Linked DNA regions of Xenopus tropicalis. The protein of the gene in region 4 purifies or fractionates together with the protein of the main gene of each other region. This does not show direct contact. Links are inferred from orthologs where the notes say so. Each region holds a gene or a part of one and is shown on either strand. Other genes may lie near its edges.

Region 1 (3,989 bases), on a different chromosome or scaffold from region 4:
GGTGCTGGGTGTATGGGGAGAAGTACTAGAGGGGTGGGTGCTGGGTGTATGGGGAGAAGTACTAGAGGGGTGGGTGCTGGGTGTATGGGGAGAAGTACTAGAGAGGTGGGTGCTGGGTGTATGGGAAGAAGTACTAGAGGGGTGGGTGCTGGGTGTATGGGGAGAAGTACTAGAGAGGTGGGTGCTGGGTGTATGGGGAGAAGTACTAGAGGGGTGGGTGCTGGGTGTATGGGGAGAAGTACTAGAGGGGTGGGTGCTGGGTGTATGGGGAGAAGTACTAGAGAGGTGGGTGCTGGGTGTATGGGGAGAAGTAATAGAGGGGTGGGTGCTGGGTGTATGGGGAGAAGTACTAGAGGGGTGGGCGCTTTATAAATAAATGTTAATGTAATGCTGGGTGTATGGGGAGAAGTACTAGAGAGGTGGGTGCTGGGTGTATGGGGAGAAGTACTAGAGGGGTGGGCGCTTTATAAATAAATGTTAATGTAATGCTGGGTGTATGGGGAGAAGTACTAGAGGGGTGGGTGCTGGGTGTATGGGGAGAAGTACTAGAGGGGTGGGTGCTGGGTGTATGGGGAGAAGTACTAGAGGGGTGGGTGCTGGGTGTATGGGGAGAAGTACTAGAGGGGTGGGTGCTGGGTGTATGGGGAGAAGTACTAGAGGGGTGGGTGCTGGGTGTATGGGGAGAAGTACTAGAGGGGTGGGTGCTGGGTGTATGGGGAGAAGTACTAGAGGGGTGGGTGCTGGGTGTATGGGGAGAAGTACTAGAGGGGTGGGTGCTGGGTGTATGGGGAGAAGTATAGGGTTGTGTAATTCCTCTAGTTGAGTGAATCAGTCGGTGCGACTCACCAGGGAAGAATGAGAGAAAGGAAGACAAGGGAAGCCAGGCTAGCTCTGGGAGGGGAGGAGGAGAGAGGGGGAAGTGTTGGGATTAGAGGTGGGATCTGAGAGGGGAATAATGCAAATGAAAGGGGAAGGACAAAGGGGAAAGACAAAAAGGGACAGGCCGAATTAATAAGCGCCCCGGACTGTGGTGAGAGAGCAGGCTGGGTGTCACTGGGGCAGTACAGAGACCCCCCAACGGGAGTGACAGGCTGGGCCAGGGCTGATTCAGTGGGAGGAGGGACAGGCGGACCCGGGGGAGGGCAGCACAGGCGGAGGGGAGGAGGGAGCTGGAGCCGGCCGGGCGTGAACCGTACGCTGAGTAGATCCCCAAACTTCCCGGCCCAGGAGGAATCTGATGTGTGGGGAGAGGCACCGGGAGATAGTGGGTACGAGAAGAGCGCTCTTGCCCCCCTCTGTGTGAGGGGGGTTCCCGGAGAGTGGAATCTCCCGATATCTCAGGCAGGACAAGGTAAGTAGTGGCTGCACCGTGCCGCTAGGGGGCGTAGGATAGTACCACGGGTGCAGAGAATGGGGGCGCTATAGGCTGCTTGGGAATGGTGTATGTAACGCCTTTGGGGGTATTTGGAGCACTGCTACCATATGGGCCTTTAAATCTCACTCTGGCCCGGTATTCGGTGGGTATGCCTGTGTATATGTTGTGCACACAGGCCCTTTAATGGTCAGGGTAAGTGCAGCATGTTTCCTGCGAACATCAGGGGTTAAACTTCTGGGCCAATAAGCTAGCGTACATTTAACACATGATTTTGAGATGGGGGCATGCTGGGAGTCACTGGGCAAGTCTGGAGTTGAGAGAATATTGGGGAGTGAAGGGGCTAGTTAGCAATATTGGGTGTGCTGGGCATGGATGGGGGGAATTCTATAGTATACAGGGCATGTATGGGGGAATGCTATAGTATACAGGGCATGTATGGGGGGAATGCTATAGTATACAGGGCATGTATGGGGGGAATGCTATAGTATACAGGGCATGTATGGGGGGAATGCTATAGTATACAGGGCATGTATGGGGGGAATGCTATAGTATACAGGGCATGTATGGGGGGAATGCTATAGTATACAGGGCATGTATGGGGGGAATGCTATAGTATACAGGGCATGTATGGGGGGAATGCTATAGTATACAGGGCATGTATGGGGGGAATGCTATAGTATACAGGGCATGTATGGGGGGAATGCAGGAGGGTACAGGGCATGTATGGGGGAATGCAGGAGGGTACAGGGCATGTATGGGGGAATGCAGGAGGGTACAGGGTGTGTGTGGGTAAATGGTACAGGGAGTAAAGGATGGCTGGAGAGTACAGGGCATGCATGGAGGAGTGGTGAAGGGTACAAGGCGTGCATGGTGGGTTATCATAGATTGTACACTTGTGAGTCCTCTCTATAATAAACCAAAGGCCATCCTGCTACTGGTTGAAGTTGAGAGTTAAAATTCAACCCAGCTCTATAGGTATGGGTAGTTCTGGGGAGCAAAACTATGCTATGTACCTGTGTATGTATGTGGAACAATTCTGCATATAAACACACACAATGGTCAAACAGCTACTATGGCAGTGGGTTGCACAATTATTATAGTTTATATCTAAATTTAGATTGGTATTAAATGTCATACAGAGCTGGCAGCATTGTTTTTTTTTTTAACTATGTGATTGCTACAATTAGCAAATGGCAAGGGTAAATGTTTATGAATGTACTCAAGCAAATGGGTATCCCTCCCCCTTTTAACCATTTGCTGTGCAGCTTTTAAAGCAGGAGGCTTTAGGGCCATGATCATAACTTTCCAATGTCGCCTTGTTAGTGCCAGGTTGTAGGTAAAGGGCTAAGGGTGCTAGGTTATACGTAGGATGCACCAAACCCACTATTTTCAGATTCCGTCAAACTCAGTGTCCTTCGTAAAGGATTCGGCCAAATACCAAGCATATGTAAATTAGGATAGGGAAGGGTTAAAGCGAGCCTCGTGCGCAGGTTGCGCTGAAAAAATTTCAACTTCTGTGTTTATATGACAAAAAGGCACATGATTTTTAGTGTTCTGATTCAATTCAGTGCATCCCTAGCTGTAGGTATAGGTACATGAGTGCCAAGCAGTGGGTACAGTGGTATATGTGCCAGGCTTTAGATAAAGGAAGGGGCTGTTTACCAGGCTGTAGGTATAGGTACATAAGTGCCAAGCAGCGGGTACAGTGGTATATGTGCCAGGCTGTAGGTATAGGTACATAAGGGCCAAGCAACAGGTACAGTGATATATGTGCCAGGCTGTAGGTATAGGTACATAAGTGCCAAGCAGTGGGTACAGTGGTATATGTGCCAGGCTGTAGGTATAGGTACATAAGGGCCAAGCAACAGGTACAGTGATATATGTGCCAGGCTGAAGGTATAGGTACATAAGTGCCAAGCAGCGGGTACAGTAGTATATGTGCCAGGCTGTAGGTATAGGTACATAAGGGCCAAGCAGCAGGTACAGTGGTATATGTGCCAGGCTGAAGGTATAGGTACATAAGTGCCAAGCAGCGGGTACAGTGGTATATGTGCCAGGCTGAAGGTATAGGTACATAAGTGCCAAGCAGCGGGTACAGTGGTATATGTGCCAGGCTATAGGTATAGGTACATAAGTGCCAAGCAGTGGGTACAGTGGTATATGTGCCAGGCTGTAGGTATATGTATGTGAGTTCTCAAGCTCTGAGTACAATGATACATGTGCCAGGCTGTAGTCAAAGAGGTATATTTGCTACACTGTATGTAAAGGGCTATATGTACCAGACTGTTGGTACAAGTGAAAGGCTTCTGATACAGGGGTATGTATGCTAGGTTGTTGGGAAGGGCCTATGTAGCTAGGCTGGGTAAAGGGCAACGTGTGCCAGGCTTTGTTATCATCGGCTTATCAAATATACTGACACATGAATGTATCTTAGCAAATAACCTTTAGATAAAATCAGCAGGTCTTTTCAACCAAAAATTTATGCTCTGGCCTCCCTCTAGTGCAAAGCTACAACTCCCGAGGGTGATGGGAGTTGTAGTTTTGTACTAGGTGGAGGCTACAGTTGCCTTAGAGCCAGCTAAATCCCAGCTCACCTTCACACGTGCCTCAATCC
Region 2 (4,060 bases), on a different chromosome or scaffold from region 4:
GGCGTTTTTCAGCCGCTGAGAAAATTAGAAAATACGCAGCGCAAAAACGCCTCGTGTGGCATCAGCCTTACTACTGGCATGGCCAGGGGACTCTATGGCACACGCATTGTGTGGCGTGGCCAAATGTGGATTCCCAGTGACATCACTGCGCATGCACTGACATTACTGGGTGCTTAATCTGCATGTACAAGCAGAAAGCTCACTACACATGCACATTTTTTTTTTAAATGGGTGATTACCACAGGTTTCCAGGAGGATATGGGGTACAAGTTCCTGAATCAGGTAACACTGGGGAAAACTTGGAGAGTTCACAGCTTTGTTTCCCTGATATCCTGGTTGACCAGTCTGACACTGCTTTAGATTATAAAATGTTTTTCTGTAACTAAGAGCGTTTTTTAAGGTAACTAGAGATGGCTAGACATGGAAGACCCTGATAATTTTGCTAAACGTACTAGATCCCATGTCAGTAAACTCTGGGCACTCCTGAAATATGCTATGTACCTATGTAAACAACGGTTTCAGTATACACAGGCGCCAGGTAACATTGGCAGCTCCTTACAGGCCAATAGGATAAAAAAAATATTTTATTGTATGAAGCAGGACTGTTTCCATGGGGTTTTATACTGTTTTGCTGTACAGTATGTACAATAACGTAACCCCACATTCTGTAATTACCAATTACAAGAACGCAACTATTACTGAAAAATATTGCAGATCATTTCCCATGGCAGCAAAGACGCGTCCAATCAACACCAGAGAAGACGCTACAGCCGCCGTACTGCGATCGATGCGTTCAGTCTAGGCAGGAAGCGCTTGGCGAGAGACGTCAAAAGACCTCTAATTCTGCTGTCAGGATCCGTATTGAAGTTTTATTTTCTAGCTTCTGCCGGACTACACTTCCCAGCAGCCTCCAGTATAATCGATCATTTTCTAAAGCGGGAATAAATCAGTAACCGGGAAGCCGTAAATCAAACACACCCTGTGAAAACAGAGAGTTTAGCAAAGAAAAAAAAAAAAAAAGCAGAGCCGTACGAGTCCACGCCCACTGCAGCAAAGCGTGAGGGGAGTTGCGCCTTTCCAAGGCCCTGCCCGTAGTTCCGCCCCACACACACCCAGCGGGCGGGAAGGCGTTAGCTCGGCAGCGCCTCACACAGCGTACGACTGAGCCAGTGCAGCGAGCCTGGGGCGCCGCCTCGTCATCCGCTCTGTCGCTCCCCACCAGAGAGGCAGCCACACCCACGGAGGCGCAGACGGACCGAGCCGTGTAATACCCACAGCAGCTCCGGAGAAACTCTCCCCGACGCATTAAATCAAGCAAAACATGGCAGCGGCAGGGGCCTCGTCTAACCCCGGCGGGGGGCCGGAGATGGTGCGAGGGCAGGCGTTCGACGTAGGCCCGCGATATACCAACCTGTCATATATCGGGGAGGGAGCGTACGGCATGGTTTGGTAAGTGCATGGGGTACGGGCGGATCTCCTTCTAATCCTAGTCATGGCCTTTTCCTTCTTCAGGCCTGTGCGTGTTGGGATCTGTCCCGGCCCTCTCCAGCTTGTGCAGCCACCTCCCCACGCACTGCCACTGCTCCACTAGGGACTGCGTGCTCTCGGCTCCCGGCTGCCAGCTCCGGCCTTTCTGCCGCTTCAACTCGGCATTTGTTCGCTAATATTTCTTTCCCATTATTTAGTGTTGGGAATTGTGTTGCACCTGCACCCAGCAATCCCGTCATAGCCAGCAATCATTTTGCATGCAGCACTGGTGCACATTAGGGTATTGCTTTCCCCCAAATGCAGATTTGTGCTTCCTTTCCCTGTAGTTGGATTATTGCGCCTTCCAGGCTTTCTTTGCTGTGTTGGTAACCTTTGTAAAGCTGAATTAGAGAATCATCCCCGCAATGTACCCTTAAACCCACCCATACAGCCTGTTACAGTTTTAGTTAATGAAATAGGAATGTATAATGTTTGACCCATCAGGGCTTGATGAACTAATTACTCCTGCATCCACTGACAGCCAGGGCTTTGGGAATTGTTCTTGGAGAACAGATGGAGGCCATGTTGTACTTGCATTTAATACTGTATGCGTGCAAGATATTTAAGATACAATGCTGTGGGCGTATTTATAACTTGTTATGAGTTAGAGGTTTGCACCATTGCAGTTAGTCCTGTTTGAAATATGCTCAAAAGTTAAGTTCAAGAAGTAAGGTTAAAAAGGCAATTTGACATTTGTATATTGTTGTATTTTATCAGTATTGTTGTATTTTATCAGTTATTTATGTTTGTTTCCTTTTTCCCAGTGTCGTGCAGGTTCTTACATTATCCCCATCCCATATATATGCTGTAGCACCAGAGTGTAGGACAAATGCGCTCACAGCCCTAAACAGCACATAGTTTAGTTTACTACTGTCTCATTGGTCTGCTAGTCTATAAACTTAGAACTGTGTTCATTGTAACTTTATGGACTTTTTATAAGTACAGTAAAAGTGGGAGTATTGTTTTTTTTTTTTTTGTAAACCAAGATAGACATCCATATCCTGTGCGACACAAGCCAAAGGTGACTTTTATATTAACTTCTCATTTTCAGTTTAATAACCAGTGTTTAGCTATACCTAGGGCCAACCTACATTCCGTGTGGGAACAGTTTTTCTAAATGGCATTGCGTAATCTCCTCAGATCACAGCACTTTTCAGTATAAATCTGCTAAAATGATGGTTCCATTGTGTTGTGTGGGAAGGCATTGGCCGACTCTAAAGTGACAAGTGCCAGCCCTCCTCCACAGTGATTCTTTTAATTCAGTTTTTCATATCAGAGCCTAAATGCACAGAGATATGCAGTTTGGACATAAGCAGGACACTGTGCCTCAGTCCAGCTAGAAATATAGATTAGAATGTGTGTCCTTGGTACATGGGTGACATCAATTTTATTGTAGATATAATTTGCTGTATTAATATTATCAGGTTTCATTATGTTTTAGGAGCTTGAACAGGCCCAAATATCTCCAAGGTTTAAAATCTTACATTTTCAGGCATGCAGTACAAGAGATTAAAGGGGTACACTGGCAGATTTAAGCTGCCAAGGTGGGCAGGTTTGACCTTAGGGCCTGATAATTGAATTAGCCCTATATTGCCCACCTAAGGTGGGCAAATCGGGGGAAGATCCGCTCGTTCAGCGACCTCACCAAATGGGCGGATCTCTACATGCCTAGCCACCTTAACATAGGGTTGCACACCACTTTTACTTGATTGTTACTGCTTGTATAGTTGTTGATCAATGAATTATTAAAGGGTGCACATATTGTCAAGAACAGACTTTTGCTGTTCCACTATGTAAGAAATGAACCTTTTAAAATTTGTCTTTCTCACTGCTAAAGTATTCCCAAAAACCTTACAAGCATGACCCAGGTGTTCACTTCTGGCTGGCTGCTTCCTCTGGTTGTGCAGGAGAGCCAGAAATACTCAGCACTTTGCATTGTAGAGTGCCAGCCAATCCCAGTCTAGTGGTCTTCAGTTATCCGCTCCCCTAGCTGTAGGCACAGGGTGGTAAACTTGAGCCTCTCTTCCTCTGTGGTGAGTTGTTGGACCTATTTTAGAATCTTGCTATTTGTCCAGTGGACCTGACTGGGAACTGCATATTACCTTTCCCTGTGTTAAGAGAAGAGATAGGATTGGCTACCCACATCCACACGGGGAAGTGAATTAGAACAGCTTTACGCTAAAATTTTCTGACTAACCAACTTGTATCCATGACTTATAGCTATGGCTTGTAATTGATGGGCCGCTATATGCATACCATTAATTGTAAGATATTATTGATATGCTTTTTGCCAGATTTATCCAGTTACTGAATTTTTTAATAAAAGGAAGCTGATGGTGCCATCATGGCAGATTTGCTTCTGTTCTGGCTCACTGACTTCAATTCCAAACATAGGTATAACAGCCTAATAGGCTCTGCCCATTGGACTCTATAATGCAGAGACACAATCATATACCGTAATGCAGAAAAGCAGCAGATCTGCCAAGATGGCTGTGACAAAAATAAGGCTATTTGCCAAGGGGCCTCTCTTGTC
Region 3 (4,200 bases), on a different chromosome or scaffold from region 4:
ATTTGTGGAGAGGCCACAAAGGCCCGGGCCTAGGGCGGCAGAAACCTGGGGGCGGCATGCCGCCCAGCCGCACAATAATCTCAAAATTTCTGCTCCCATACGGAGCAATGGGGACTTCTCCCCACTGCTCCGTATGCACTTTGGCCCACGGCGCATGCTTGTCCCCGCTGATTGCGCATGCGCGCACCCCCCGTGCGCCTGCACACTACCGCTGGGGGGGGGGGGGGGGGCGTGGGACCGGGGACAGCCTGGGGGCGGTGAGTTTTGAAATCCAGCCATGAAACCAGCACCATATATTATTTGGAATTGCCTACAAAATTAGGTTTTTTTCCCATTTATCCAGTATGTCTCCTTTAAAAAATGATAATGCATCATCCATTGTTATTTGCAAGAGTCTTTTATAAAAGCACCTGGCATGCAGTTTTATGTTTTTATATGGAAACAAACTCCTGTGTGGCTTCTAATATTGTTTTGAATAACAATAGGGCAGGCCCAGGTTGGAAATCTTTGGATTCTGGCAAATGTCGCCATAGACAGTCACAAATGATTGCGCTTGTGGTGGGGGCTGCTTGGGCCTCTATGCACCTAAAATACCAGGGCCTATTTTGACTCCCAGTCCAGAGTTGCAAAAGGGGATACATTATTTACTATATTACTACAAAAACCATACTGGGGCAACCCTGTTATAGTGGGCCCAGGAACACAGCATAAATAGTATTGAATTGAATTTATAATAGGGCAAGAATGTGGCTTTGAGGTACAACTCCCAGCACTCTCAGGGAGAGTCCTATGTCATACAGATAACAGGGCCTCGCAGTTTTCCTAAATATTTATTAACTTCCCTCACATATTGCAAAAGCCAAATACCAATAGTTAAATACAAAGCTTAGGGTGGTTATATGTACATTAACAAAGAATTTTAGCTGATTTTCCTGCACTGCATTACTGCGTGTGTATTTGCCTGCTTATAGAATAGAAGTTGCTCTGTGTCAATATACATACACGTAGCGACTTTAGTCAATGCCCTTCCATAGAATAGTGAAGAGTGAGGCCCCGTTGAAAGCGCGTTGTAGCTAAAGCCCACACTGCTGGCGGAGAGAGCAGCACACGGGTTAAGTCTCACCTGGCTGCTGGCTACTCACGCAGCGCTCAGGCTCCTCCCTTTGTGCTCTGATGGATTTCCTAGCTGAGCTGCAGCTTTGAAGCCTGCGGGCGGTAGGACCCGGTGGTCATCTGGAGGCAGGGTGTAAGAGGCACAGAGGGAAACCCATAGACAGCGGCTGGAGAAAGGAAGAGAAGGCAGGAGGGAGGATCGCTTTGGGCAGGGGAGGAAGAGCCATTGCTCACTGTGTGCAGGGGAGGAAGAGACAGAGACGGGCACACACACAGCTGATGCACAGGAGAATGATCCGAGGCTGAAGACTGCAGAGCCGAGGCAGTTATCCTGCAAGCGGCAGCAGTACCCACATCCCAGGGTGGCAGCAAGGTGACAGCAGCAGCAGCAGCAGCAGCAGCACTACTCTCCTGCCAACCATCAGCAGCAGCCGGTTCCTCCCATCCCTCCATGCAATCAATGGGCTGAATCTGCAGCAGCAGCAACACTACAAGCAAAAGCAGCCTTATCCTTCCCCACCTCCTCCTCCCACCCTCTCCCCCTCTGTGTCTGCTCTCCTCTCCTCCCTTCTTTCCTCTCCCTTCCCTCTCCTGCTCCCCTCGGTGATGGTGAGGCTTCAGCTGGCTGTAATCCACCGCTAGGCCCCAAGCCCCCCTCCCAACTCGGTGGCTGCCCTCCTCTTCCAGACTCAGCTCAGTAATACCTCTTGCATCCATGTAAGTCAAACCGCCCGGCACTTCCATTTCCTAACCTTTGTCTTCCACCCTCTGCCAGCACCCACGCCCTTTTTTTTTTTTCTTCTTCCATTTATTGGTATAATCCTTTAACCCTTTAGGTGTCAGAAAGCCTCCCCCTATCGATCATTGCGCAATGCACCAGGGGGGCCTTATGTCACTGACAGGGTTAAAGCAGGACAGTACCTAATACCCTGAGAGGCATGGGGGTGTTGGTCAGTGTTACAGCCCTGTCAGGGCCTGGCGTTGTTTAGTGCTCTGCAGGAGGGGTAGCGGTAAGAGAGCAGCATGCAAACTGCAGCTGATGCAAATGCGCCAAAAATCAATCACATCCCAGTAGTCTTGCTACACAAACTGCCTGCAGGGCAATGCTGTCGCCTTCAGTGCAACCCAGGATGTGTATAATGTTCCTGTTGTGTAGATGTGTGTATGTTTGTTCATAAACAGTGTTAATTTCCAGGGAAGGGCTGTGGCTGGAACTATGGCTGCTCTGCAGGGGGGCTGGCAGCATTGCTTTTTAAAAAGATGGCAGGAAAACATGTATGTATATATATTTATATAAAGATGGTAGAAATGTGCTGCATTTGCTTCTTATCCAGTCTATATACTCAGTTGTCCAACATGTGGCCCTCTGGCTGTCATAAGATGGCAACTCTCTGACATCCACCGCAGCGGAAGGCTGTCATAGGCTGCTGGGAGTTGTAATTCACTGACAGCAAGCAATGCTACAGGTCGGACACCCTGGTGAAATCTAGTAATATCCCCCTTGGGCTGTAACAAAAGCTATCCTATTGCACTAGCATTTCTTTTGCTTACATCTCTGAACAAGATAGTGTTTTACTTCTAGACTGTTGTGTTATGTATGTAGTCTGTTACTTGCTGAAACTGATGTGCTCTTTGTGTGTCCCCCCACCAAACGTGCCCACTTCCTGTGTACATGCTCTAATGTGTATGGGTGTGCTGGCTGAGTTTGACACTTCCTCGCTCTGGCCTGAGCAATCAAGTACTGTGGATTACTGTTGCTATCCAGACTTCGAGGAATATAGCAGTATTGTGAAATTTGTTTACCTGAAAAATATATATATATGTGTTCAGTTAAAAGTAGGTTGCAGTAAGCATGTGGTTGGCATTTGGCAAGTTCCCCACAGTAACTTAGCACAACAATTAACCCAGTCGTTATTGTGATGTTTTTCTTAGGCAATGTATTTTCCAGTAATGTTTCTCGGGGTTTATGCGCACATTAATTTCCAGCTGAATAAGTAATAAGATGTTCGCTCATGGTTTAGCTAGATTAGTATTGCAGGTACAGAAATCCTGTAAAATCAAGAAACAACTAGATTATTTGCATCAAAAAACAGTTTGGTTGTGTCACAAGTCCAATGCTGTGTGTCACCTTTATGTAGTGCGCTAAATTAAAAAAAACAAAAACAAAAAATTTCATGACATGTCCTTTCTATGTGCAGTCATCTGGATTTTATTCAGTGTCTGCTATTGCAACAATGTAAAAAAAAAAAAAAGAGTATAGGTTAATAAACTGGGCCCCGATTAACTTTTGCTACTATTTTTTATAAAAAAAATTAAATAAAAAAAAATTGTAGTTCATTGTTCTTCTAGTGATCAGTGAATGAAAAACCAAACTGCTGATTTGATGCTGGTTTGGGAGACCAAACTCTCTTGAATGCAGGAAGCAACTAAAAACATGATCATGCTGCTGGGCTAAATAGGAGCCGGTGCAACTGACCTGCATTATTTATAAGCATCCTGCATTTAAAGGTAATACCTTCTCTCCTTACTCTTAACTAAGCAGAATATACAGTAGGTAACTTGTATGCTAAAGCCAATGTTTGACTGTAAACTTATCTGTGCATTTGTATAGTGTAACCTTTCATTCTACCTATAATATGTATTTGGCTTTGATTTTATATTGTATTCCACTTTGGTTCAGGTATATTTCTCTGAGCATGCACATATACAGAAGTTAGATCACAAATATATTTAAAGAACATATAAAAATAGTTTTTTGAAGTTTATTAGAAATGTTTATGCTATATTGTTGTAGGATAGTGTTGGGCATAAGGATAAATTAATTCAGAAAAAAACTTTGTATGACATGTCTCCCAAGTATATATCCTTGAGGTTTGACGCCTATTCGTAAATAATCTTAGGTTCAACTGCACTGCATTATTGTAGGGAAAGCAACAGTAGGCAGTGCTTGGAAAATGCAGAAAACAAACAAAATAAATCTGAAAATATAACTAAATCAGCATTTCAACTCCTGTACAGAGTCTGTGGCAAAACCTCAGTGTAGGAAGCAGAATATTGGTTTGTTATGACTTTTGTGTCAAGTACTTG
Region 4 (3,500 bases):
AAGGGACCAGCTACAATCGGCCCGTGTCACGGTGTGACCCACTAGTTTGGCCAAACGAGCAGATTGTGTCCCGATAGGCCCACCTATGGTGGGAGAGATCAGGCTAATTGGACCTTAATGACCCTAGGTCCAAACGGTCAAATTCAAACTGCTTTAAAGTCTTTAAAGGGGTGGGTTAACTTTTAGTATGTTATAGAATGCAATACAATTCTAAGCATACAAGAATTCTAAGAATACAATTCTAAGCAACTTTTTAATTGGTCTTCATTATTTATTCCTTATAGTTGTTGAATTATTTGCCTTCTTCTTCAAACCCTTTGCCGCGTTCAAATGGGGGTCACTGACCCCGGCAGCCAAAAACTATTGCTCTGTGAGGCTCCAGTTTTATTGTTACTTTATTTAACTTTCCATTCTGTCCCTCTCCTAATCATATACCGGCCTCTTATTCAAACCGCTCCCTGGTTGCTAAATTTGAACCCTAGCAACCAGATAGCTGTTATAACTCCAAACTGCAGAGCTACTGAACAATTTTTGAAATAATTAAAAAACAACAAATAAAAAATGAAGACCAATTGCAAGTTGTCTCAGAATATCACTCTCTACATCGTACTAAAACGTTAACGCGACCCCTTTAAAGGAACACTGCCATCAAAATGAAAAGTATACGTATACCCAAAGTGGGTAGCTAATTTCCTAGGCATCATGTGACTGGCAGGAAACAGCAATGTGCATGAAACTAACCTTTTGTGCATCTTTTCTTCCATGGTCTTGGCACAGAAGGCACGAATTTCGTAGTCCACGCCGCAAGCCTGATGGGTAAAAGAAGGGGTTAAAGTTGCACTGTGCAGTATATAGGTGCCTACTAATGGGAGTATGCCAGGGAATGCCCACCTTCCCAGTGTCCTCGGGTCCTGGCTGCAGAGTGACGGAACATGGCAGATTTTGCGGAATCTAATAAGAAGAAAACGAGAGACTGTTAAAGGGGTTGTTCACCATTGAGTTAAGTATGATGCAGAGAGTCATATTCTGAGACAAATTGCAATTGGTCTTCATTTTTTATTATCTGTAGTTTTTTAATTATTTCAATAAATTGTTCAGCGGCTCCCTGGTTGCTAAGGTTCAAATTACCTTAGCAACCAGGGAGCAGCTTGAATGAGAGACTGATATATGACTAGGGGAGGAACTGTATAGAAAAAAAGGTTATAAAAAGTAACAATAACAATAAAACTGGAGACTCACAGAGGAATTGTTTTTTGGCTGCCGGGGTCAGTGACCCCCATTTGAAAATGGCAAAGGGTTCAAAACCATAAGAAATAAATAATGAAGACCAATTGAAAAACTGCTTAGGAAGATTGATTAAAACTAAAGGGGAAATAAAGGGGGGGGATTATAAGGCACCATAGGGCTGGGTGGAAGGATAAAGATACAGGAGGAGTGTTGGGGGGGGGGGAGGAACACTGACGGTAAAGAAGAACGGGTGTGCTTGTTCCCCCAGCTTCTTGATCAGCCGCTCCTGCAGGCGAGTGAGGGGTTTCTTTTCCTCTGGGAGGGGCGGGTAGGCTTGGAACTTGGAAATGAAGAGATCCTTTCGAAAGGACAAGCCCAGGACGTCCAGGTCTTCCCGGCCATATCGGAAAGCACAGGTCAGCGTGACGTAGACTGAAGTGGGCAGAGAGAGAGTGGTGAGGGGAGGGGCATAGGGGACACCGGTTGGAGGGTAAGGGCGGGCAGAATGGTAAGAGGGGTAAGTTTAAGGCTACACGTTTAAAGGGCCACTATACCCTACAGCTGTCCTGCATTATTGAGCTCATATGGTATATGGTATCTCCCTGTACAGACTTATGAGAAGCTAAAAACTACAGGCAGAAGCCAGAGGGGAAAAGTATACATGCCTTTTAAAGGAGAACTAAACCCTAAAAATGAATATAGCTAGAAATGCAATAGCTTACATACTAAACTTACTGCCCCAGCCTGAAGGATCAGCATCTCTATAGTAGTAATGATCCAGGCCTTTCAAGTTGCCGCAGAAGATCCCCATCTTGGACTGTCGCAAATTATCTATTATCTTTTTACTGAATGATATGAGCGGCTCCTACATGAACTTTCCAGCAGGGGAATGACTGGTTATTATAGAGTCACATCGGCTGTTTGTATTGGGATCTATTTACTGAATGATATGAGCGGCTCCTACATGAACTTTCCAGCAGGGGAATGACTGGTTATTATAGAGTCACATCGGCTGTTTGTATTGGGATCTATTTACTGACTGATATGAGCGGCTCCTACATGAACTTTCCAGCAGGGGAATGACTGGTTATTATAGAGTCACATCGGCTGTTTGTATTGGGATCTATTTACTGAATGATATGAGCGGCTCCTACATGAACTTTCCAGCAGGGGAATGACTGGTTATTATAGAGTCACATCGGCTGTTTGTATTGGGATCTATTTACTGAATGATATGAGCGGCTCCTACATGAACTTTCCAGCAGGGGAAGGACTGGTTATTGGGCCCCACAGCAACATCATTGAGCCCCTATGCTTACGCAATTTACGTAACTTTTGCAAACACTTGCATTACTTTCAAAGAAACTTGCGTAACTTACCACTTTATTTTTTACTATTTTTATGAACTACTACGGACTAGTTATTGGGGCCCTAAATCGTATGCAAAGATTAAACTTAGGGCAAACTCCACTGACTGTGGAGCAACATCAGCTGTTTATGCACAAACAAGGGGCGTGGCCAACATTTTGGTACTGTCCAAAATTTGTTTTACTTGTGTTCATGGGGGGGGGGGGGGGCCATATAAATAACCTTTGCGGGGCCCCAAAGTTTCTGATGGTGTCCCTGATTGTATTTATACTGTATATTGTGAGTCGGTCCCTAAGCTCAGGTAAGTGACAGCAGCCTAAGGAGCTTCTTTAGTTACGTTTTAGTTCTCCTTTAATATTCCCACAAAAAAAAAAAGATAAAATATTGATGATATAGCAGCCCTTTAAAACATAGGGGTCATAATGAAAATACAGAAGGTAGGGGGGGAGGTTGGCAATGGCTATGGGACTTACCTTTCCGATCTTTCAGATAATCTGTATCCACAAGTACGACGCCATCTTGAAAAGAAAAAAAAATAAAATAAAAACATTGATGCGCAGCAGGAATGTGGAACCAACTACTGTAGAAGTGGCAGGGAATTACAGTTGAACAGGCCTCTCTGTATCAGTCTATGGCCTCGGCAATATATGTTTAAATCCCCCTTACCCACAGGATCCACCCGATCCAGATGGTCGACAAAATCCCTTTTCCCAAGGTACACAGTGAGCTGGAAAAGATCAAGGTTACAGTCATTAGTATGAATAGCCAGTCATTATATCCCCCCCCCCCCAGTAGGCTAGTCTAAGGGCCCTTAGCATTACCACGGAGCCCAGCTGTTTCTTGTACACAGTAGTACCACGAGGTACCACGCAGCTAATCCGCTCCAGATCCAGAGGTTCCATATC
Region 5 (3,500 bases), on a different chromosome or scaffold from region 4:
ATGACAAATGGAATGTATTTGGCAAATATCCCCAAGGTTTCCTTTTACGTTAGGCTAGGGTCACCCAGTGCAGCCCTATCTCATGTTCTGGGTTAGGAGCTACCTAGCAGCACCAGATATGGGTGGGTGGCAGTGAACCCTATCAGTTTAGTAAGGGATCAGCTGATGTGCTGAACTGACACATACCATACTCCTGTCGAGAGCCAGTATATTTGATAACCTGTCATATCGGTGAACCTTTTATAAGTGATAACTGGTGTTACTTTGGACATGTCTCCAGTGTTCCCCTGACAGCATTTCAGATGGAACTTCTCCATTTGGCAAAGAACAACTGCATGTGCAAATGAACACAATTTCTAAAGAATTTAATGCTGCAAAATATAAACCATACCGTTAGCTTTTTCTTCATCCTCACTGGAAGAACTTTCCTCAGAACTCTCAGCAGCTGCTTTAGGAGTGGAATTTGCTGTTTTGGGAGTAGAGATATTCTTTCCTTTTTGCTTTTCATCTTCAGAATCAGAACTCTCACTGCTGCTTTCTTTTTTAGGAGCAGGTTTTGCTTTGGGAGTAACTGGGGATTTAGAAATAGCAGTATTTGTTTTTGTAGCCTTTAAGTCATCATCTTCTGAGCTACTGTCTTCAGAACTGCTATCTGCAGCTTTCTTTGGAGCTGGCTTTGTGGCCTTTGCTCCTTGCTTCACATCCTTTGCTGCTGGTGGTTGTTTAGGTTTTTGTTTTTCGTCATCGCTGGAACTGTCTGATGAGGAGCTGCTGCTGGCCTTTGCCTTATTAACAGCCACTGGGCTCTTCTTTGGAGGAACAGTAGCCTTAGCAGCTGGGGATTTCCCAGTAGTTTGCTTGCTTTTCCCCTCCTCTTCGCTGCTTGAATCAGTGCTGTTAGCCTTAGAAGGTTTTTTGTTTTGAACTTGGACCTTGGGGGTAACTGGTGTTGTAGCTTTGGCTGGTGGCTTTGCGGGTTTTGTTTTCTTCTTAGAATCTGAATCACTGGAACTGCTGTCAGAGCTGCTTTCTGCTTTCTTGGAAGGCAGAGACTTTACTGCTGGGGACGGCTTATTAAGTGGCTTAGTAGTTTTCGTGGTCTCCTCTTCTGAGCTATCAGAGTCTAAAAGACATTATAGAACAACATGTTAAACTGATAAACAGATGCTGCTGCTGCACAAAACAAGGTAAATAATTCCTAGCATAGTACATGTATACGAGTGCAAGATTGTTTTACTTAAATGAAAAGCAAATTATTAAATAAGAATCGTTTATTTAAACAACATACCACTATTTTGGCTCTGAATAACAGATACCTGTATTACTTAGAATTAATTTTCCTTTAAGAACCTTACCTATAATCTGCCTATAGAGCACACTTGGACTTATATATTCCCACTGCCTATAGAGCACACTTGGACTTATACATCTGCCTATAGAGCACACTTGGACTTATACATTCCCACTGCAAACAACCCACTCAGACAAAACCAAGCCATACCAGAGTCTGAAGAGCTGGAAGCCTTCTTTGCAGGAACAGACTTTGCAGCAGCAGAAGCATCTGTCTTGGAAGCAGCTTTCCCATGTGTAGTCTTAACTCCTGGCTTTGCAGAGGATTTCTTTTCATCTTCACTGCTGGAATCTACACAAAATAAGATCCCATAAGGGTAAGATCAGGCTAAAATGGTCACTGCAGCAAAGTTAAAGAAATCTATTAGGACATAGTAAGATTGCAAATACCAATCATTCCAGACGTGTGTCTTTTTAAAGACTACTGTAAATCGCAAACACAACTGATGGGTTACCATCCTTAAAAAATTGCCTTAAAATAGTTATGGATACATATTTCATGGTCATTCTCAAAAATGCTAAGTTCCAAGCAGGCAATACTGAACTATATGGAAAGAATAAGGCAGTTATACAGAGTAGTTTATGCAGATGAATTATCTTGATTAACTACTCAAATTTAACTCCTCAACAGCTGGAAGGTCTATGAAACACTGGCTGCTTTACTAAACATGTCATAACAGAATGCTTTATTCTGAATAAAATATCCCTGTTATATAAAAATACTAATAAGAGGTCAGGAACACTGGGCTCCTTAACTGTAAAAATAACCATTTCAGAACCTATATAATTTAAACATTCTCAATTTTAACTGAGAGTGCAGATACCTGAGCTATCTGAAGAACTGGATTCTTTCTTAGTTGGAGCTTTCTTGCCTGGGGTGGTTTTAGCAGCAGGCTTGGCAGGAGTGGTTTTAGCAGCAGGCTTGGCAGGAGTGGTTTTAGCAGCAGGTTTGGCAGGGGTTTTCTTCTCATCTTCATCACTGCTTGAGTCTTAAGTTAATTACATAGTTAAAGTTTAGCATGCCTGTTACTGTACATTTGGTACAATGCTGACAAAATACCTCCTATATGCCACCTACCACACAAAGCTTGGCCTTAAGGTTTTATTAAATAAACCCCAGCATGACTACAATTTGAAAGGTTTCCTTTTAACTCCCCTGTTTTCATTCTATAAAGTATGCAAGCTTCTATTATATACCTGTTTTTCCACTTACCACTGCTGTCTGAGGAGCTTGAATCCTTTTTGGAAGTTTTGGGGGTTCCTTGTTTTGCAGGCAAGGTCTTTGATGTTGGTGTTGCTTTGCTAGTTGTGGGTGTTTTGGAAGTTGGTGTAGCAGCACTCTTTGCAGGAGTAATTTTTGTGGAAGGTTTAGGTGTAGTCTCTTCATCACTGCTAGAGTCTACATCGTGTGGAAGATAACATGTCAAACAATGAAGCAAACAACGTTTAAAAGAACTACATGTGATAGAAGTCAGATTTGGGACCTAATTTATGCATTAAATATTCAAGAAAGATTAAAAGGGAAGTTCACCTTTAGAGAATACTTGCAATATAGCTGTAATTGCCTTAATCATTATTTTTGCAACTGGGCCTTCGCATTTACACCAGTTTACTACAATATTGATGCAGAAATATTAAGGGTCAGGCATAATGCCTTAGTGCATTACTGAGCTTGCCCTGTATCTTACTAAATTATTTACACAAAATTAACAATTTTAGCATTTAAAAATAAGGATTTTTGTATGGGAGATGGAACTGCATTATTTCAGGGTCTCTCAATAATAGATAACATATTTACAAAAGATACGGTTTTAAAAAAGTGCTAGGTGTAGCCACCATTATCTAAAGCAAACAGTTTTTCTGGCTTCCATGCTCTAGGTTTGAAGAAGTACATAGTTGTTGACACAACATAGTTGACACACTGGTGATTTAAGCTGCATTAAGTAAGATGTGACTAGATTTTCATGCAACTGAAAGTAACTTTTTTGTTTTTTTACTTAATACTTAACATAACTAGAGCACGGACAAGTCCCATTTGTTTTTTTGCATTTCTTAACGTTTCTCACATTTTATTTTTGGCCCTGAAAATCCTCCTATAGATCCCACCAAGAAGAATACGTCCCTCTTGCCACCAACCCTCTTCAAGAATT
Region 6 (4,150 bases), about 27 Mb from region 4:
TCCAGCACAAGAGTTATTTAGAGCACTTACACAGTAGTATGTAATGATTAGCTATGTTTATCCCTTTGTAATCACCTGTCATTTTTTTTTTCATACAAAACACAATGGGTTAATTTATTAACGCTTGCGATGTGGTCTTGCAAGGTAATTATTTTACTTTTATTTAAACTTTGTACCTTCTTGGGTTTTTATTGTGTCTATGATTAAGTGCACATGAAACGCATCAGGCGTGATGCTTTTAAATGGATAAAGTTAAAGGGATTCTGTCATGACTTTTAGGATGAAGACACACTGAGCTACTAGTAGTAACTACTTACGTGGCTACAAAAATAGACAATGCTGATCATTTACTGATAATTTCTCTACGTGTGCTTTAGCAGAGGCAATTCTCAGTATTGTTAGGAGTCTAGTAGCTGTGAAAAAGTAGCTGCTACTACTAGCTCAGTGTGTCTTCACCCTTATGATATAGTTTTATTACTATATTACACTGTTCACATTGCAAATAATCCATTCTACGATTTAAAATTGCATTTTTGAACAAATAAATGTATATTTTTTAGCTGTAATACTGGTAATACTGGTGTGTAGGCGCCACCTGAGTCTGAACATTCAGAAGGAGCCAGAGCTACACATTAGAACTGCTTTCAGGTAACCTATTGTTTCTCCTACTCCTATGTAACTGGAGGAGTCCCAAGCCGGACTTGGATTTCTTACTATTGAGTGCTATTCTGATACCTACTGGGAGCTGCTATCTTGCTCCCTCCCAATTGTTTTGCTGATCGCTGCTGGAAGGGAAGTGATATCACTCCAACTTGCAGCTCAGCAGTAAAGTGTGACTGAAGTTTATCAAATCACAGGACACATGGCTGTGGCACCCTGGGAAATGAAGAATATGGCTAGCCCCATGTGAAATTTCAAAAGTAAATATACAAATGTTTGAAAAGTGGATTTCAATGCAGGATTCTGCTGGTGAATTTCTATTAACTGATGCATTTTGGAAAAAAAAACCCCAAAAACATATTTTCCCTTGACAGAATCCCTCTAATTTTTTACCCGACATCCTTTTGGTCAGTTGGTGAATGAAAGCCGCTTTGATTGATTAAAATGTGGCAGAACGCCACTTATTGAAATCTTATTTTCATGCTATTGTCCCCTCAAACGACAAACAGTAAAGTCGCCAGCACAAGGGCTATCTAAACGGAAGCACCTACACAGTAGTGCAGCCCTTATTGCTGAGCCCTGATGGAGGGTAAACAAAGCCTGTGTCATCAGGTACCACAAGATCAGTACCAATGGGCCATGGGATCATTACTCATAGAACATTATAAATAATAATAACTAAATAAGGTTTAGTAATTTGTTTTAATTTTACCCCACCAATTATACATTTTAATTTCATGGTAGTATAAGGGCCATCATGTATGCTCTCTTACCTATTGTCTCTATAAACACATATAATTATATACCAATGTTTTTGGATGTTAGGTGTATAAATAATATAATATATATATGAACAAATGAGAAATGCCCCCAGAAGAAGTAGTATGTTGTTGTTGTTGTTATTACGCACTAGGAAGCTGCCTGGCGCTAGTATGTGGGGATAAGGGATGCCTGTACTGACTATGAGGAGTGAGTAGATGGGTGAGTGGGGAGGCAATGCCTGAGCGCAGTATTGGATTCCCGGGCGAGTCCAGTGCAGCGGGAGTAGCTCCCCAGTCCTGGCTTTGCAGACAGCCCAGTGTGTGAGTCTGTGCGTGTGTGAGAGAGAGAGAGAGAGAGTGTGCGGCTCAGGCTCTTGTTTACAGCATTAGCGCCGCGCACACACACACACACTGAGAGGAGATCCCAATGAGAGAGGCTCGGTGGCGGCGGCGGCCCGGGGATCCCTACACACGGACGGCAAGCAGCGGGAGAGCAGCCCGTACGCAGCTTTAAGCCTCTCGGGCTTTATCCTAGGGCTGAAGAGAATCGCTCGGACGGCGGCGAGTCGGGCGGGCCGAGATACTCTCCTCCATTCATTGGTCCGGCGGGTGTGCAGCGGCCTCCTGCCGTGGGATAGCGGATTGTGCCCGGGGCTGACATGGAGGGAGAGGAGGGCGAGGTGCGGGCTTCGGGTTTCTCCCATCAGCTTCCTCCGTGCGGCCGGTTCCAGCGGCGGGACTGACACACTGTGCGCCGGGGAGATACACGTTACCCTGCGGGACTGAGGAGCCGCACACTTACCCTTGGATTTACCCAGCATCAGGCGGATTTCATAGCGCCCCCTCAGGCCAGGGATATACTGCCACCGGGGAGTAGGGGAGATACGCAGAGTAACAAGAGCGAAGAAACCCATTGGATAACGGGGCCCAATTCCTCGTAGTGGGCGGCGCCTGTTTCGTAGCTGCCAGAGAACCCCAAGTAACCCCCTTGTCCCTCTGCCTATCAGTCAGGGCAGTGGGGAGGGGGGGAACTGTGGAGCTCAGGGGCTCCCCCTGGAGTTGGTGCCGGCCGCTGCTCTGCCAGTACAACTTGGCCAGTCCGCTCAATAATCCACGTTTCACGATCCAAGCAGGTTCCAGAGCAAGGTGACCCGGGAATTCCAGGGCTTGTGGTCCAGGTAGAAAGGACCGGCGGCGCCATTTTTGTTATTCCGGGCCAGGGGGGAGTTCCTGGCAGAGTGCATGAGCATTTCCTCGGATTCCCTGAGTGGGCTGTACGCGGGGACTTGTTTGTGGACATGAAGGCCGGATTGGTGCCTGCTTGTACGGCCTGGATCCCGGGGGTCCTCGTCCTCCTCCTTCTGTGCCTGGGACCGTCGGCTGGGAGAGGTGAGTGTCCTGTAGCCCCCCGGTACCCCGGGCACATGGGGCTCCCACGCAGTGTGGGAAGTGTCGCTGCGTCAGGCTGCACGTATGGCTGCTGTGGTGCGCATCAGTGGGGAGCAAAGATTTGGGGCCGCACTTTCTCTACTCTTTGGCCCGAATCCCACCTGCTGTTGTTTCCCCATTACTAGTACGCAGCTCCCCTCAGTGTTGGCCTTTAGGGGCCCCAGAGAGCCATCAATCATTCCAGTATTAGAGATATGAGCTGTCAGTGTCCCTAAGCTCCCAATGTGCAGCACCAGGGATGCCCAATCTGCAGCCTTTTGTGTGTGTGTGTGGGAGAATGCTGGGAGCTGTAGTCCACAACAGCCGAATAACTGCAGGTTGGACATCATTGCCCCCTTCCTGCTAAATGTTTTGGCATCTGAGTGTACATCAGCATTGGGTCTCTCTTTCCTCTCTCATCTTCATCTGTTGTGTGGGGAATTGTATGGATGCGAGTGACTTGCTCAGACTGCACACTCTCGTCTCATAACTGCATGTGCGTTGCACTAATGGATAACCACACACGCTGCATAGCTCCCATCTCCATGCTTCAGGTACCAATCTCTCCCAATGCTGCTGCAGCACATTTTAAATATTATACAGCTTGGTGCTGTAGTCTAGAAATCTCCAAACTTGCTTCTGTTGGACTACAGATACCAGCATTCCAATGGGAGCTGTTGAATAACTATTGCCCTTCCCCTGATTTCAGTCGCTCGTTTGCAGTAAATGCAGCCACTGTTTTGATAACTTGTAAGCTCATCATTGGAATTGTAGCCATCCTATAAATCTCAGGTCATGCTGGCTTGTGTAGCCAGGCAGCAGTGGCCCATCCCTGCTTCGGTATGGGTAGTTTGGGCTTTCTGTGGAGAAGGACCGTGGACTTGCCCTTATGTCTCAGATTTTTATGACAGGTCTGAAGTTTGAGATTCTCATGCATCTAGTTGCATTCTAGTCCACACTGTTTGTACTGTAAGTATTGGTGCTACTGAGTGATATTGCTTGGGAGATGCAGTAACATGTATATAAGACTTCACCTCAAGGATGTGACAGTTTAACCTTTTACCCACTAGTTTAGTTACTGTTTTTTTATGTTGTCGGCAACTGATGCACCATGATGCTTGCATCCAGCAACCTCTCCACTGACACAAAGTTGCAGTCGTTATGACTTCTATGCACCCAAGATTATTCTTATCAAAACCATGCAATGGCTATAATGATACAGGGGCTGGTAGCATATATGTAACACATTAAGCACCTATGTGCAGAGATAGATAAATATATGGGGAAAACTTCATCATGCT

What was found.
Region 1: the proteins of arrb2 (region 4) and src purify together in Homo sapiens (affinity purification with western blotting; 4 studies listed by BioGRID and IntAct, with this or other methods). This does not show direct contact. The link is inferred for Xenopus tropicalis from reciprocal best matches to the Homo sapiens genes ARRB2 and SRC.
Region 2: the proteins of arrb2 (region 4) and mapk1 purify together in Homo sapiens (affinity purification with western blotting; 3 studies listed by BioGRID and IntAct, with this or other methods). This does not show direct contact. The link is inferred for Xenopus tropicalis from reciprocal best matches to the Homo sapiens genes ARRB2 and MAPK1.
Region 3: the proteins of arrb2 (region 4) and akt1 purify together in Homo sapiens (affinity purification with western blotting; 4 studies listed by BioGRID and IntAct, with this or other methods). This does not show direct contact. The link is inferred for Xenopus tropicalis from reciprocal best matches to the Homo sapiens genes ARRB2 and AKT1.
Region 5: the proteins of arrb2 (region 4) and nolc1 purify together in Homo sapiens (affinity purification with mass spectrometry; 5 studies listed by BioGRID and IntAct, counting the BioPlex papers as one, with this or other methods). This does not show direct contact. The link is inferred for Xenopus tropicalis from reciprocal best matches to the Homo sapiens genes ARRB2 and NOLC1.
Region 6: the proteins of arrb2 (region 4) and igf1r purify together in Homo sapiens (affinity purification with western blotting; 4 studies listed by BioGRID). This does not show direct contact. The link is inferred for Xenopus tropicalis from reciprocal best matches to the Homo sapiens genes ARRB2 and IGF1R.

What each region holds. Positions count from the first base shown.
Region 1 is NC_030686.2:39,477,140-39,481,128, reverse strand, and holds the start of src (proto-oncogene tyrosine-protein kinase Src), read left to right. Parts: upstream 1-1,189; 5' UTR 1,190-1,351; intron 1,352-1,482; exon of another isoform or gene 1,483-1,558; coding exon of another isoform or gene 1,559-1,567; intron 1,568-3,989. UniProt on the Homo sapiens protein: Non-receptor protein tyrosine kinase which is activated following engagement of many different classes of cellular receptors including immune response receptors, integrins and other adhesion receptors, receptor protein tyrosine kinases, G protein-coupled receptors as well as cytokine receptors.
Region 2 is NC_030677.2:154,011,314-154,015,373, forward strand, and holds the start of mapk1 (mitogen-activated protein kinase 1), read left to right. Parts: upstream 1-1,260; 5' UTR 1,261-1,321; coding exon 1,322-1,449; intron 1,450-4,060. UniProt on the Homo sapiens protein: Serine/threonine kinase which acts as an essential component of the MAP kinase signal transduction pathway. MAPK1/ERK2 and MAPK3/ERK1 are the 2 MAPKs which play an important role in the MAPK/ERK cascade.
Region 3 is NC_030684.2:99,749,721-99,753,920, reverse strand, and holds the start of akt1 (RAC-alpha serine/threonine-protein kinase), read left to right. Parts: upstream 1-1,400; 5' UTR 1,401-1,486; intron 1,487-1,740; exon of another isoform or gene 1,741-1,830; intron 1,831-1,970; exon of another isoform or gene 1,971-2,123; intron 2,124-2,161; exon of another isoform or gene 2,162-2,388; intron 2,389-4,200. UniProt on the Homo sapiens protein: AKT1 is one of 3 closely related serine/threonine-protein kinases (AKT1, AKT2 and AKT3) called the AKT kinase, and which regulate many processes including metabolism, proliferation, cell survival, growth and angiogenesis.
Region 4 is NC_030679.2:142,403,762-142,407,261, forward strand, and holds part of arrb2 (beta-arrestin-2), read right to left. Parts: intron 3,323-3,500; coding exon 3,262-3,322; intron 3,114-3,261; coding exon 3,069-3,113; intron 1,660-3,068; coding exon 1,463-1,659; intron 952-1,462; coding exon 892-951; intron 810-891; coding exon 742-809; intron 1-741. UniProt on the Homo sapiens protein: Functions in regulating agonist-mediated G-protein coupled receptor (GPCR) signaling by mediating both receptor desensitization and resensitization processes.
Region 5 is NC_030683.2:44,081,966-44,085,465, forward strand, and holds part of nolc1 (nucleolar and coiled-body phosphoprotein 1), read right to left. Parts: intron 2,750-3,500; coding exon of another isoform or gene 2,564-2,749; intron 2,340-2,563; coding exon of another isoform or gene 2,175-2,339; intron 1,643-2,174; coding exon 1,502-1,642; intron 1,124-1,501; coding exon 392-1,123; intron 1-391. UniProt on the Homo sapiens protein: Nucleolar protein that acts as a regulator of RNA polymerase I by connecting RNA polymerase I with enzymes responsible for ribosomal processing and modification.
Region 6 is NC_030679.2:114,970,460-114,974,609, reverse strand, and holds the start of igf1r (insulin-like growth factor 1 receptor), read left to right. Parts: upstream 1-1,350; 5' UTR 1,351-2,719; coding exon 2,720-2,810; intron 2,811-4,150. UniProt on the Homo sapiens protein: Receptor tyrosine kinase which mediates actions of insulin-like growth factor 1 (IGF1). Binds IGF1 with high affinity and IGF2 and insulin (INS) with a lower affinity. The activated IGF1R is involved in cell growth and survival control.